Daphnia pulex: one gene and its partners. The protein of the gene in region 1 purifies or fractionates together with the protein of each later gene. This does not show direct contact. Links are inferred from orthologs where the notes say so. Each region holds a gene or a part of one and is shown on either strand. Other genes may lie near its edges.

Evidence for each region. The genes of interacting proteins can lie anywhere in the genome.
Region 2: the proteins of threonylcarbamoyladenosine tRNA methylthiotransferase-like (region 1) and cytosolic iron-sulfur assembly component 2B-like purify together in Homo sapiens (affinity purification with mass spectrometry; 3 studies listed by BioGRID and IntAct, with this or other methods). This does not show direct contact. The link is inferred for Daphnia pulex from reciprocal best matches to the Homo sapiens genes CDKAL1 and CIAO2B.
Region 3: the proteins of threonylcarbamoyladenosine tRNA methylthiotransferase-like (region 1) and MMS19 nucleotide excision repair protein homolog purify together in Homo sapiens (affinity purification with mass spectrometry; 4 studies listed by BioGRID and IntAct, counting the BioPlex papers as one, with this or other methods). This does not show direct contact. The link is inferred for Daphnia pulex from reciprocal best matches to the Homo sapiens genes CDKAL1 and MMS19.

What each region holds. Positions count from the first base shown.
Region 1 is NC_060018.1:3,959,789-3,965,094, reverse strand, and holds threonylcarbamoyladenosine tRNA methylthiotransferase-like, read right to left. Parts: upstream 3,400-5,306; 5' UTR 3,273-3,399; exon of another isoform or gene 3,187-3,272; 5' UTR 3,137-3,186; coding exon 2,917-3,136; intron 2,855-2,916; coding exon 2,783-2,854; intron 2,723-2,782; coding exon 2,594-2,722; intron 2,535-2,593; coding exon 2,433-2,534; intron 2,370-2,432; coding exon 1,975-2,369; intron 1,916-1,974; coding exon 1,770-1,915; intron 1,701-1,769; coding exon 1,520-1,700; intron 1,447-1,519; coding exon 1,300-1,446; intron 1,236-1,299; coding exon 945-1,235; 3' UTR 664-944; downstream 1-663. Other genes in the region: uncharacterized protein LOC124188531, read right to left, coding at 4,103-5,306. UniProt on the Homo sapiens protein: Catalyzes the methylthiolation of N6-threonylcarbamoyladenosine (t(6)A), leading to the formation of 2-methylthio-N6-threonylcarbamoyladenosine (ms(2)t(6)A) at position 37 in tRNAs that read codons beginning with adenine.
Region 2 is NC_060019.1:10,899,627-10,903,475, forward strand, and holds cytosolic iron-sulfur assembly component 2B-like, read left to right. Parts: upstream 1-1,948; 5' UTR 1,949-2,070; coding exon 2,071-2,194; intron 2,195-2,259; coding exon 2,260-2,339; intron 2,340-2,403; coding exon 2,404-2,676; 3' UTR 2,677-2,712; downstream 2,713-3,849. Other genes in the region: sterol regulatory element-binding protein cleavage-activating protein-like, read right to left, coding at 1-1,464; microsomal triglyceride transfer protein large subunit-like, read right to left, coding at 2,906-3,077, 3,137-3,304, 3,366-3,520, 3,604-3,640, 3,808-3,849.
Region 3 is NC_060026.1:4,197,694-4,203,143, forward strand, and holds the start of MMS19 nucleotide excision repair protein homolog, read left to right. Parts: upstream 1-2,013; 5' UTR 2,014-2,056; coding exon 2,057-2,144; intron 2,145-2,326; coding exon 2,327-2,571; intron 2,572-2,627; coding exon 2,628-2,772; intron 2,773-2,842; coding exon 2,843-3,030; intron 3,031-3,098; coding exon 3,099-3,260; intron 3,261-3,326; coding exon 3,327-3,540; intron 3,541-3,600; coding exon 3,601-3,713; intron 3,714-3,791; coding exon 3,792-3,912; intron 3,913-3,975; coding exon 3,976-4,281; intron 4,282-4,337; coding exon 4,338-4,620; intron 4,621-4,682; coding exon 4,683-4,924; intron 4,925-4,991; coding exon 4,992-5,140; intron 5,141-5,212; coding exon 5,213-5,325; intron 5,326-5,383; coding exon 5,384-5,450. Other genes in the region: glycerol-3-phosphate acyltransferase 3-like, read right to left, coding at 1-5, 70-225, 426-503, 621-755, 818-1,165, 1,227-1,379. UniProt on the Homo sapiens protein: Key component of the cytosolic iron-sulfur protein assembly (CIA) complex, a multiprotein complex that mediates the incorporation of iron-sulfur cluster into apoproteins specifically involved in DNA metabolism and genomic integrity.

The sequences.
Region 1 (5,306 bases):
GGGGAGGGGGAGTTCATATCTGGAGCAGTAGAGGGAACACAGGCAGCACAGAGAATATTCCGATAACAGCCACACACACATACTGCACACGACCAACTCGAGTCAAAATAAAACGAACAAAACCTTTTTTTTTTTAAATCCAAAGATCCCGAAAACAATTTCCCGCAATGAAAAGAAAAACACACGAAACAAATGTTGGGTTCAATAAAATAAAATGTGAGACTTACACGGTGAATTGTGTGATGGAGTTGAAAGATCCACGGAGATGTGAACGTGCGGCTGACGCGGGCGACGGCGATGAACGACGACGACGGCCGCCATGAAATGAACGGCGTCTGCGCGGATTACACCTCCTCCTCTCCCTCCTCCCCCCTTCTCCACTTGAAAAAGAAAAACGGGGGAGCAGAATGCGACGCTTATGCGCATGAGCTTCCCTTCGTTACGCGCAGCAAGAAATTCAAAACAAAAAAATGTGTATAAAAATAGGACCCACCAAATATTCCGGACGACTTTTTTCTTTTCTTTTTCTCCTCCAATATCTTCTTCTAGCGGGTGGGTGAGGCCTTATCGCAACTGCAGTTCACTGCGATTATCTCTAACGGTATAAAGGACAAAAACAAAGTGGTCATTTCGACCATTGACCAAAGAGTAACACAGAGCAAATGAGGATGTGCCCGTGTATACTGTAAACGTCAAACACAGGCACGGCAGAAAAAGAAAGAGATAAGATTAAAGACTTTTGACACACTAAGTTGAGTTCATTTTGTTTCTTGTTGACCAGAAAGCAAAATTTAAAAAGAAAACATCCAAAGGGCAAAGAACCCTCCAGTGGCAAGGTCAGAAAGAGACTTAAACGCCACACAATTGCTGTACAAATAATAATAAGAATTTTGTATGAACCAGCAACGGAAAATGAGGAAATGGTGAAATTGCCGGTTGTTTCTTTATCGGCGTCCACGCCAGTAAAAAATCCAGGCCAATCTAAGACCAACGACGGCCGAAATGCCCAGAATAGGCCACAGTCTCCCACTCAAACTGCTGGATGCTACTGCACCAGGATTGCTACTGGTGTTGGAAGCTGCTAGTCCGGATATCTGGCCCTTTTCAAGGGCTTCTGGGACGTCTGGACGTTTAGGACTAGTCAGAGGTTCGCTCATTAACGAAAACTTGCTGGCAGAAGTTATGAGAACCTCTACCATTTTGCCCATGTAGTTTGGCTCCATCGGGACTAGCACCTTGATCCACGAATGAGTAAAATAATCAGTCATCGATAAGAAGAATGAGTTGGCATTTGTTTACCTGAACGTATTCCTTGTTGTGCCCAACGTAATAATTCTTATCGTGAGAGATGTCCGTAACCAGAACGGACTGCCGTTGACCAACTTGATTATCATATGGTTGATATGACTTGAATAATTCGCTAAGTCGTTTCGTTCGATTTTTCACCTGAACAATCATCAAATAAATAACATGATCTGTTAGTTGCATGACAAATTTAACTGCATGAGTAATTGCAAACCTGTTTAGTTGGAACGCGTTCCATGCGATAGGCGGGAGTGCCTACACGCGGGAAGAATTGATTAATGAATAAACTAGGGAAACGATGTTTGGAACAAAGTTCCATCGTCAAATCAAAATCTTGTTCCGTTTCGGTAGGGAATCCACAAATTATGTCGGTGGCGATTGAAATGCCTGGAACACTGTCGTAAAGAATTGTTTACATAAAGTTCGTTCATTCAAATCTAATAATTCAAATTTCAAAATGTTACCGCTCTCGAAGAAAATTTACGACCCTCTCAAAATCAGCTACGCAGTATTCTCGTTTCATGTCAGTGAGGACTGCATCACTGCCGGATTGAACGGGCAAGTGGAGGAAAGCGTAAACTCGGGGGTGGTTTAGAATTTCAGCGATCGCCTGCGCAACCAAATCATTAAAACTGCGCAAAGTATTTCAGGAAATTTAACGAGATTTACCTCAAGATGTTCAAGGATGTAAGGAGGATTGGTCATGCCTAACCGAAGCATGCATCCATCCGGAATAACTTGAACGAGTTGCCTCAAGAGTTCCGGCAATGAACTCCCAATGTCTCTTCCATAGGCGCCCGTGTCTTCGGATGTCAACCAAATCTCGCAAACACCTTCCTGGAAAGACTGGATAGCTCGGGCTACAATTTCTTCTGGTGGATAACTCCCCAATTCTCCGCGTGCGTGTTTGGTTTTACAATATGTGCACTGATTCAGACAGCCTGTGTTGATTGGGATGATTTCTATCAAAGGATTCTTTCGAATTTTTGGCAACAGCAACGAAGCTCCTCCAGTTTTTTTCTTCTCTGCGTCCTTTTTCGTGCCCAAAAGACGAACGGAATGGCCTAAGAATGGATTTACAATACAATTAGAATTACTGTTGCAAAGTGATTTCAAATGAACAAAACCTTTTAAAGTTTCCTCTACTACTTCAACTACTCTGTCTATTTGCTGAACCCCAATGATACTTAATCCTTGCAAGTAATTTGCTTTAGGTTGTCCCTGTGGAACTAAAAAACAATATCTTGATAAAGAGACCAAATAAAATTATGAGAATGACATAGCATACCACATCCAGCCACAACAACTGGAGTGCCTCTGGCTCTCCCATCATCAATTTCATTTTTGAAGTGGTCCTCTGCAGGTGTTTTAACAGTGCACGAATTGAGAAGCCACAAATCTGCCTCATATTTTTCATCTAAAAATTCAATGTTTATTATTTAGCATAAAACGATTTTTTTTTTACAATGTTATTTACCGGTTAATGAATATCCGTAAGCAGCCAGCTGTCCTGCCATGTACTCAGAATCAGAATTATTGTGAGCGCAGCCTGGACAGAAACCGAGGGAAATAAGTTAATAGGTTGTTTCACGAAATGATCAGTTCACTCACCCCATGTTTTAACCCAAATTTTTTGGGTGCCAGGAATAATGCTGCCATTCTCCTCCACTTTGGGGATAACTTTATTGGACTTGGCAGGATCTTTGTTGTTGGGAGTTTTTTTCACTCGTTTCCCAACAGCATTAGATCTTGCTACAGATCTTTCTAATGCAGTTAAATCTCCTTCTCCTACAATGTCTTCGATATCGTCCAAAACATCATCGGCTGACATGTTCGATGTTGAAAGGCTACACTGGATTGCAAAAGACCTCAAAGTAAAAACTAAAACCAAATGGATAAAGCTCTCTATTGCATGAAAATCAGATTTGAGTATAGCTTGCACACAAGTTTAACAAATTACTTTATACCTATAAGTGCTACAACTTAAAACAAAATTAATGCAAAATCTTTTGAATTAACAGATTTCGCTTCTGTTATTCGTTCCAAATTCTAAACGTGTAATTTTGAGCAGACGACCACGTGAGCTCATACTACTTCACGACAGAGAAATAAAGCCTCTTCTAGTCCCATTCGAAATCCTGTTTCATCTTTTTTAATTCTTAATTCTTTTTCTTATAAATCAATCAGAAATTCAGAAAGAAGTTTTTTTTACCGAGAATCAGTCTCACGCTTTCAAATGTTCATGGTTGTTTCCAACTGGGTTTCAAAACAATAGTAATTGAAAACAAGATCGTTTAGTTGCTTTTTGTATTGTGAATTTGCGACTTTTTGTATTCTAGAATCTACCCGAAATTTTGAATCGAGATGAGATGTTCTAGTAGACTGAAGAAAGAAGGGGAAAGATAGAGAGAAAAGTCCACCCAAAAACTTATTTTTAATGAGAGTTTAGTTGCATGTAAAAAAAGGGATAGGGAATATTAAAGTACTAATTTTAAATTTTTGAGTATCACCAAGACGCAGTTTAAAGGCGTGGCGGATGGAAAGGCAATCATACAAAACAATTACAATTTCAAAAAATAAACAACTCAAAAATAGAACAAAAAGAATTGACAAAAATTTTCAAAACGACCAAATTTTCTAACATTTGTCGAATGCCAATAATTCACTTCTAATAATTCACACTAAATATTATTTCCCTGAAATCCGAGATCCTTGATACATTTTGATTGTCGTTTTATTTCTTCTACTAAAATCTTTTTATTAATTTTCTATTGGCATTGTTTATTTACGCACTTCTTTATTTAAAGGTAATCATGTTGTTTGTATTCAGGTTGCTGGAATCCAAAACTTCTTGCTTGATCCACTCATTGGGAAATTCAGGATCATCCGATTTCATTTCGACTTCACTTCCCGTTCCCAACTTGGAACCCAAATTTTCTCGGTTGGTGGTGGAAATATGTTGCCAATCTTGACTTCGACGTTGATCTTTCGTGGGCGTACGTTCGTTCGTGAGACTCAAAAAAGCTGCTTCCTTGGCCAGTCGATAATCGTCAGGATTCTGATCTGCGGCATTGGGTTTACTACCACTGTTGTAGTAATGATGGTGATGATGGTGATGTTGCTGGATTGAAGGTTGAGGTGATGTTTGTTGTACTGCTGCAAGTGGTAATAGAGGTGACTGTCGTGCGACGGCGGAAGGCGAAGGCGTCAGAAGACGTCGATTCGAAAAAATTATGTTCCTATTGGGAAGTCCATCGGAAGACATGAAGTGGAATTCAGTTTTCTTCATTTCTGGTGAATCGATAACTGATTCTTCCATTATTGGATGAATACTCAAATTTAACGGTTCGTTGGTTAGAAGATTGTGCTGTTGTTGCTGCTGTTGTTGCCGATTGTGTTGTTCTTCTTGTTGTTGCGACGCTGCAGAAGGTTGCGAGAGACCATCTCGCGGCTGTTGTTGCTGAAGTCGGATAACGGATGAAGCGTGAATGCCGTCCAGAGGAGATTCCGGTCGATGAGGTTCGTACGGTTGTAAACAGGCGAAGCATTGAGTGGCTCCGGTTTTGGCATCAATTAATCGGGCGCAGTCGTAGGATCGATAGCGATAATCCGGCAAAGTGAAATAATTCTGCCCGGCCAATCCTTGCTCCAAGGCCTCCTTCGGATGGAATTGGTGGACACGTTTGAGAACGCTGCCACGTCCGTGGCAAACGGTGGCGCCTCCATTGAGAGAATCCAAAAGCGGCTTGACGAGACTCGGATCAATTCCACCGGAAGTGAGAGAGCGGAAAGTTCCAGAGCGTACACAGTGGCCCAATACTTCGAACCAATAGGATAAATGGCGATCGACGAGGAGTCGCATTAAATGCGTTCGATAACCAAATGATGGAACGCGGAAAGTAGCAAACGAAGGTGGTTTAATTTCCAACCAGATATCGCCTCGATCATCGGCGTATTCCAAACACGATAGGCCGCAGGATCGCACCATAGATAGCAAAGCA
Region 2 (3,849 bases), on another chromosome or scaffold:
TTGGCGCTGAATTTCCGACAACTCTTTGCGCAATATGTCGATGGACAGGACGGTGGAGAAGAACAGCATTTGCAGAACGAAATCGGAGAGAAGGGCGACGACGGCGAAGAGGCAAAATTCTTGAATGGCCGGCACGAAGGTGAAGAAGCCCACCGTCAAAATAGTCACTTCTGTTAACAAATTTTTGGTTATGTTCCATCCTTCACGACTAAGTCCCTGTGCTACACGGATCTTGACGTCCAAATTGGCTGGAGTAGAGACGACAGAGCGAGTCAAAACTAAGATGTTCTCCAGACCAACGATCACCACTAAATAAGGGAAAATGTCTCGTCCCTGAAGAGTGAAGCGCAATCCGAACCACGTGCACAGGCCGACCGACATGCCCAGCGATGCTACCACTGTCACTACGGCGCTGAAAGCCATGCCAAACTTGGATTTAACCATTTCGATCTTGCGAACAGAGAAGTAAATGTACAGGAACAGGATTAAGTAGACAAAAGTCAGCGGGATGAGCTCCAAATAATTGAAACGTTCGGGATAGTAAATGTGAACGATGGTGCGTCGAGATGATGTGGATTCTTGAGTGGTGGAGTGGAGAGGAAATTGATTGCGGAGCTTTAACCGCAAGTCATAAAGAAACGGTTCAGAATGAGTTTTAAGTAAGATTGTGATAGCGTACGTAAGGACGCGAGAACGAGTCTTGACTGGGAATTTTTTCAATCCACTATTTTTGAGCGGGACGCCGTAAAGTATGTCGGCCATACTTGATCGCACTTCTACCACTGGGTTCTTGAAAGAAAATATGGTGTCTAAGAACTGAGCGTCGTTGCGGAAGGTATTTTCGTCCAGCTTCCACAAATTGGCCGGCGACAAAATGATGCAGCTGAATTCGGGTAGAAGATGTTGAAACGAACGAGCTCTAGGGGCCACACTCTCCACGTAAAGGCAAACATCTCTAAGAGTCAGGTTACTCCTAGGTGAATGGAAACCCACTACATCAGAATGCAGCTTGAAGACTTCACTCAATGGGCCTCGAAAAGCATCCATCATGCCCAAATCAGACGTCCATGGATTGACAGAGGACCGTACAACTATTTGTTGTATGAAAAAAGATGGTTGCTGAGTTCCCCATCTGGTTGGATACTGAAAGCTTTTTCCAAATTCAAGATCAGAAGAGATTCTTTTCTCTGGAAGCGGGAAAGATATCTCCTCTGGTTCATTGCCTGGAAAAGGCAAGGACAATAAAGGATGACACGAAGTGAGAACAATAATAATTGCCACTATGATTGTGCACCAGGGGTAGCTAGAACACAGAAGGCCATGTTTGTAGTAGAGGAGTGCTACCCTGTCGGGTATACTCAGGCCTTTGGTGCTTGAATTCAGTCCACTTCCATTAGCAAGTCCAGCCGAATCAACATCTTTGACGGCGGGATGATGACCAATTTGTGGCTCAACAAAAGGCATGTTTGAGTAAGTCCAAAAATATTAAAACAAACTGTAGACGACGAATAGTGAATAAATTTCACGACATTTCGCCACACTTTCCAGTATTGGCAATATTGGGAATGACCTCCGAGAGCAAACGTTTCTCCTAAACAAGAAAATCAATATAATAAGAGATTTTTTAATTTAAAACCGGCTGCAGATTCAATTTTAATCTCTATTTACCTGTCGAAAATGCCCAAAAAAGAAAAACATGTCAACTAAAGATCAATGCCTTGACACAACTGGAGCGTCTAGTGCAGAAAATTGTAACGTGGTGGTGGAATTAAACAAGAAAAGAAATAATACAGTACCTACCAGAGTTGTCCTAAAATTTGTTTACAAAAATAGTTAAATTAGTAAAATTCGTTTGCCAATATGTTTTATGGTTATTAAGTTATTTAGTTTTAAATATTGCCGATTCCGCAATAGTTCACTCAGCCGCCGCCGCGCACACAACTAAACATTTATCGGTATCGCTAGATGCCGTTACTAGTTCTGTTTACTTGTAGTTATTCGCATGTTATTCGTTTCGCGATTGCGTTCGTTATTAGTCGGATAAACTTGTCAAAGTGTTGAATTGTAAGAATGACTTCCAAAGGGATCGAAAATGTGAATCCACAGTTATTTACGAAGAAGACAAAAAGAGAAATAACAAGTGAAGAAGAAGATGAATCAGTAGAGGATCCCATAGATGAGAGGGAAATATTCGGTAAAGACTTTCGCACTTGCGTAATACATCATTAAACAAATTCGCTTATCTCTCCATAATTATAGATTTGCTAAGGGATATCAATGATCCTGAGCATCCTATGTCACTTGAAGAACTGAATGTTGTACAAATCACGAATATAGAAGTAAAATATGAAATGTCTGATTTCACACAAAATCATTACCTCTATTTCCTTTATGTATGTACAGGTTGATGACAAAAAAAGCAGTGTTAAAGTCTTTTACACTCCAACAATCCCTCATTGCAGCATGGCAACTTTAATAGGACTGTCCATCAAAGTGTGTCTTCTCAGGTCTCTACCACCTAGGTTCAAAGTTGAAGTAAACATTTCCCCAGGTTCACATGCTTCAGAGGAAGCTGTTAATAAACAGCTAGCTGACAAAGAAAGAGTCTCAGCCGCTTTGGAAAACAGCAATCTACTTGAAGTTGTTAATCAATGCTTAGTAAAAAGTTTGGAATAATAACCATTTGATCAATACATTATGGATGAAAATGCAGTTTATTTTGATGGAACACATTCAAATCTATTCAGTGACAATTACTTTACATTGTCCCTGTTCATTTACATTCAATTAGAACCATGAAAGTTGTAAACTACTTTAAACCACTTTGCTTCATTTGAGCATCTTTGGACCCCAATTATGTCATTTAAAATATTTACCTAAAAACAAAAAGAAAAACACATTGCTTTTAAAAATAAGATGATCCAGTACTCTCAACTGCAGGGAACATTTCATTGCAGAAGCCAGAATTCTGGTCATTCAGTTTGAACGTGCGACCTGGGACGAAATCTTGGCGTTTCTTCTTTTTGTGAATCCAGTGCTTAGTTCCCGGAATGCTTTCGCGCTTCTGCACAGTGTAACTAAACAACACAGGGATGTTAAGTTAGTTCGACGCTGAAAAAATAATTGTGACACTCACTCTATGTTGAATTCAGCTTGGCCCATACGCAAGCATAAAAGAATTCCGTTAGCAAAGCTAACATCATTGACGAAATCGACCCGAGATTCAGCACCCACAGTGAAATCAACAGATGATTTAACAAACGGCGTGTTTAAATTTAATGACCCCTCTAGCTCCCATGCAGCGCTGAAATGAAAATATGAGTTTTATCATTATGATCAGAAATCCAGTCTGTAAATTGACTTACATATCTTCGACAACTGAATGAGAATTTCTGTTCCAAATACTGATTTGGATTTCGCCACCAAAATCAAAAGAGACAGAACCACGCACGTCGAGTGTAGTAACAAAACCACTTTGGAGTGGTACGACATTACGATAATCCTGAAGCAGCACAGTAGCCTGTTTATGAATGTCAATAGAAATGTCAATACCGAATTTAGTTTCTGTATACTTAAAACTCTGAAAAACAAAATGTAATCTACCTGTAGGGCTGTGGTTCTTTCAGATGCTGTGCCAGACCTGGACATTGGCAATGACAAATGGTATTAGTTCTATGTTACTAGAATTTTACTAATTTGGACCAGGTTAAACTCTTCTTTTCAAGGTCCAATAAGCATTCCATTTGCATTTTTAGTTTTGTTTACCTGCCAAAACAGCATGGAATATAGTAAAATATATACACTTACCAGACATGGCCCATTAGCTCGCTTTGACCCGAGAAGAAAATA
Region 3 (5,450 bases), on another chromosome or scaffold:
CCAATCTTTAAAAAAATAATGAAAAGTAAATAAATATATAGATTTTTAAAAATTTTAAATCCAACATACCAGCGCATACGCATTGTCGCAGTGGAGAACCATTACGTCCACCGGAGTCGTGTGGTTCGCCACACAAATACCACACTTAGGTATATTCTCTCTATTGTGAAAAGTGACGACGGCTGATAACGCGCATGATAGAAAATTGAAGCACCATGTTGAAACCTTCAAAACCAAAACAAAACCAATAAGATATTAAAACAAGAAAGTATTGTAATGCAAACTCTTAAAGAAAAGATATGAATAAACGGAGCAAATGTTGATTCGAACTTTGTCCTATTCGAACCATCGGGAGTTCTACAGTTATCTACACGAGGTCAAATTCGATAACTGAACGGGGTAAAAAGAGAATTTGGAGTTTATACCTTCTCATAAATGGCTCTTTTCATGGGACCTTCATTTAGGAAGCCAACCAGTCCTGTGCACAAAGTTAACCAAATAACCTATAGAAAATCACATCAATCAAAGACAAATGAATAATTTCATTACAATTGCAATAATATAGTTAAAATAATACTAACAAAATAATTGACAAAGAACACATTTTGAAGTATACTTACAGCTAAAAAGCAAATTGTAACTCTGCTTGGTAGAAGAATGAAGTAGCGTACAAAGAAACCCAAAATCCAAGTAATAGTAAGGCGAACACTGATGAACTCATAGTGGCGGTTTGTGCGAGTAAGAAGATTCCAAGACTGGGAAGTACAAATTTAATGTTAGATACTGTGAACCAAATTGGTAGGTGAGATTTGAGTACCTTTAGTTCTTCAGCTACAAATCTTCCTGTAACTTCGTCCTCAATGATTGCTTCCACCCCCGCATGAACAAAGTCAAGGCAGTCAGATAGAATAAAATCATTATTCAAACTGTTAAATGATCTGTTTTTGGGGATGGAGGGTGTCTTTGGAGATGAGTTTCCATTAGGTAAAAGTACTAGATCTTCCTTGGACATTGCTGAAGATTTTATAATGGCATGTCCAGTTGATAATTTGTCCTCAGCTTGTTCCACTGCTTCCACAACATTTCCATTTGCATAGCCATTCTTTCCTTTATTGGTCTCTAGTTTCTTTTGCTGCTCAGCAATTTCTATCCTACCAGTTCCATACTAGTATAAAAAAGATTATGAGCATTACGAAAACTCAAATACTAAGAATAAGACATATTACCTGAAAGACCTTCAATAGTAGTTTAACATATCCTGATCGGAAATTCCTTGACCAGTTGCATGTCATCACTAGCACCAAGCAACCAATTACCAGGATAACAGGCATAAAAATTATACTAAGTACTAGCAAAAGAATTAAATTTTCGAGCCCCATTGTAATATTGTTGGTGGGAGCTCCAGTTCAAGAAGTTGCTGTCGTTGTCGAACACCAAGGCAACAGATGTCGGGACCACGTTAAAGGAAGTGGTGGAAGAGAGAGATTTCAAGGTTGACAAGAGAAATGCCGATTTGAGTTGTTGTGCGTGAGTGGAATTCGCGTAACGTAGTCTACTAAAAGACTGCTACGACAGACGTTTTGGGACTCTCGTTTATAATGGGACGTTCAGGCTACAACTGACTTCAAAAATACGTCTGTCTATTGGTTCTATGCGTTGCGCGTGCGACCTTGACGCGATTAATTATCTTTTTCTAGTCCTCCCATGCTTACCAGCACGATTTATCGGAATCACATAAAAGTTTACTTTGGAAGTCTCCACCCATCTGTTTTTTTTCCAATGCGTAATGAAAAATCTAGAAAATACAAAACCTGGGTGATATTTTCCTCCGTTCACGGAAGCTATTTCAAAACATGTTGGAATGCGGTTATTCAATATTTAATTACGAAATTTGTTACAAAAGTCTGTTGCTTGTTTACAATTACATAATCTGTGACAAAATTATATATTCGATGAATAATCAGTTCATGAAAAGAAGAATGTGAGAGGTAGGCAACCATGTGTCATTTAAAAGCAGATGACGTTTACATAATCAGGGCAGAGGTAAACAGTAAACATGGCGATCTCGACTGCGATTCACAAACTCAGAGATTCGTTTAATTCAGAAGAATCCGCGAATGAATCTATTCGCTGTATTAGTCAATGTAAGTTTTTATAATTATAACTGAAAGAAACATTTTTTCGTACTCCGCTCAAGTGTTCGAAATTAGAAAAAAAGAAGGAAAAACACGTGTCCATCATGAGCGCGCCAGATTTAAAACATATGTGTAGAAAATGTTTAATAATTTTAACAAGTTAACATCAATGACTTTGTTTAATTTTTCAGCAATTGCATCAAAAGAATTAACAATTCTCAAGCTAGTTGAAGATTTGCAACCAGATTTACTGAATCAACAAAATACTCACCGATGCAAAGCAGTGTCAACTATTGGCACAATCTTGGAACAGTTGGGGCCTGAATTGAAGGGACTAAATGAAAAGGAAGTAGAACTTGTAACAGAGTTCTTCTGTAGCAAGCTAAAAGATCATCATTCAATACTACCTGCCGCACTGCAAGGCCTCCATGCTTTGGTATGAAAAAAAATACTATTCAATACAAAAGTGTTAAATTTAATACCTTGTCATAGAGCACAGCACCTAAGCTTTCCCCTGGATTGGCCAGATTGATATCCCAGAGCATTTTTCAAGATGTTCATTGTCAATCACAATTGCAGCATGACAGAAGAGCAATTTACAAAACAGTGAAAAACCTCTTGGCTTTTCATCTAAAAGGTCTAAATTATAAATTTCTAAATATATATGCTGTGTTAGTATTTTCTAAATTTTATTTTTAAACTTACAGAATTACAAGACCTAGGCCAAGATTTTGTTTTTGGTCTCATCCAGTTAGCTGATCAAGAAAGAGACCCACGTAACTTGTTGATTCTCTTCAGTGTTTTCCCTGTAGTTGCTCGTTACTTCAGATTCGAGCCGTTTACAGAAGAGTTTTTCGAAGTTTTTAGTTGCTACTTCCCTATCGATTTCACCCCTGTAAGTCTCTTGAAATTTTCAGTTTATTGCTACATGTCAGTAAATCCTAATACTCTTATTTTGAATAGCCAGCTAATGATCCTTATGCAGTAACTAAAGAACAGCTCTGTGATGGATTACGACAGTGCCTTGCCGGTAGCCCTCATTTCGCAGAGTATTGTTTGCCGTTACTGCAAGAGAAATTGGAATCTGACTTGGTTTCAGCTAAAGTAGAAGCCTTAAAAACCTTGGTAATTTTCCCCTTCTATATTTAGTCTTTATGCTTCAATTCTATTGTAATTTTCGACTGTTTGCAGGAACTCTGCTGTCAGACGTATCAACCAGGCCAACTTGAAAAATGGGTGGACTCTTTCTGGACGAGTATACGTAGAGAAGTCTTGATCAATGTCAATACCGACGATCTTGAACATGCCTCACTTGATGCTCTTGCCGCTTTATCCCGAGCTTTTACAACAGACGGAGAATTTAACAGTCCAGCTTTTACCAAATTACTAAAAAATGTGCTGACCGGTAAATGTGTAGCAAATATTCGTTTAAGAGTATATTTAACTGTAGATTGTATATTAATAGAATGTCAGGGGCACTTGTGTGAACCGGAACGGCGATTAATGACTCCGAGCAGCTACATTTTGCTAGCGATATGCTCGGGAAGTGCGCCCGCGTGTGCATTAATTGTTAGCCAGGTATTATTCTTATTCTCTTATAGAACTACAAACATTTTTTTTAAAATCTACTTAACAGAAACCCATTTCTCTAAATAGGTCATTCCCCTTTTGATGGACCAGTACAGGATCAGGCCACAGTCAAATCCACGTCAGTTCATCCTTAATAGTTTGAACAAAATGGTACATGCTGGTCTCTATGGTTTCACTGAAGCAAACGGTACCACATTTTAAAAATTATTAAAATTAGAAACATTTTCATATCTTTGGTTATATTTTACAGTTGCTCAAAGTGGTGTAGCTTCTCTGATACCAAAATTGTTAGAGCTGTACCTTGAGGTCTTACAAGAGGATGACGCAGTTCTTCGCAATCTAAGTCTGCAAGGATTGAGCCATTTAATTGGCACCTGTTTGAACCACCAAGACTTGGAAAAGGTCAATGGAACACTTTTAGATTTACTCCAGAAATCAACAGCCACCGATAGCGTTATTGCAGAGATTGGTCATTTCTTTTGCAAAAGCGCAGAGAAGAATGAAAACTTGTTCCTTGAGCAAGTCTTGGTTAAGCTGTTAGATATAGCCGTCTCAGGTAATTTGAATTTTACCAATTAAAATACGGAAAGAGGTTATCTGTTGGTTGTTTAGGCAAAGCCAATGCGGTTTTTCTTGTGTTATCAACTCTACCGACGTTGTCCCAGATTCGTGCGCAGGTGGTATCCCGACTAATGACCGTGCTCGAACAACCCGAACTGGAATTACGACTTGAAGTACTCAAAGTTTTGACTCATTTCGCACAAAGGGACGAACTAGAAATATTCCAGCAATTGCACCGCTGGGGATTGAAAACATTGGAAGATGGAGATCCTCCGGCGTCACTCCAAGCCACTTGTGTTTTATTGAGAAATCTGGCTTCCAGTTTATCTTCCGCGTAATTCTATTAGATCAAAATGTTGGAAGAAATGTTTTTGTAATCTTCTCGGCATTGTACAGGAAAGCCACGGAATTCATCAACGAACAAACCGAACAATACGTAGGTCAACATCTTGCTCGTTCTCCGTGGACGTTGTCCATAATGGAAGCGACATTGGGATCATTGGATGCCACACCTAGCGGACACAGTCTTGAACGACTAGTTAACACACTAGAACCCATTACTGTTTGTCATCCAAAAGCCGACGTCAGACTGTCTGCCTGTCGGCTAATAGCCGCTCTGGTCAACAAACTTCCTGAAGGTAAAATTTATAGGATCTATTATAAAGTCAAAACCATCAACGTTAACCATTACCTGCTATGTTTAAGGGCATGAACTGGAAGCTATACTCGATTCGTTGCGGCGCAAATGGCAGGATCCATCTACAGACCGATGCAATTCTGTTTGCCTGTTTGTTTGGATAACTAAAGCTCTGCTGATGAGATCTTATTCCAAGCTTAATCAGTATATCCAAGAAGTATGCGATTGGATTACAGACGTAACAGCATGCGCCATGACCTGTATTAACGAATTACCTTTTTCTTTGCAGTTAGTTGATTCGTTGAACGATCCCACGCACGGGTACCTAGTGGCAGAAGGATTTAAAACGATTTTGTGTGAAACCGAGGAATGCCTGAATTTCAATTGTCATGCCAACATCAGGTTTTTTAACGTTTTCCATTTAGTTGTACGAACATTTCCTTATTGATTAAATTCTTAGGTTAATGTACCGACAGAGGTTTTTTCAAGAAGTTGTACCTCGCTTGTTGAAACTGTATCGAGAGTCC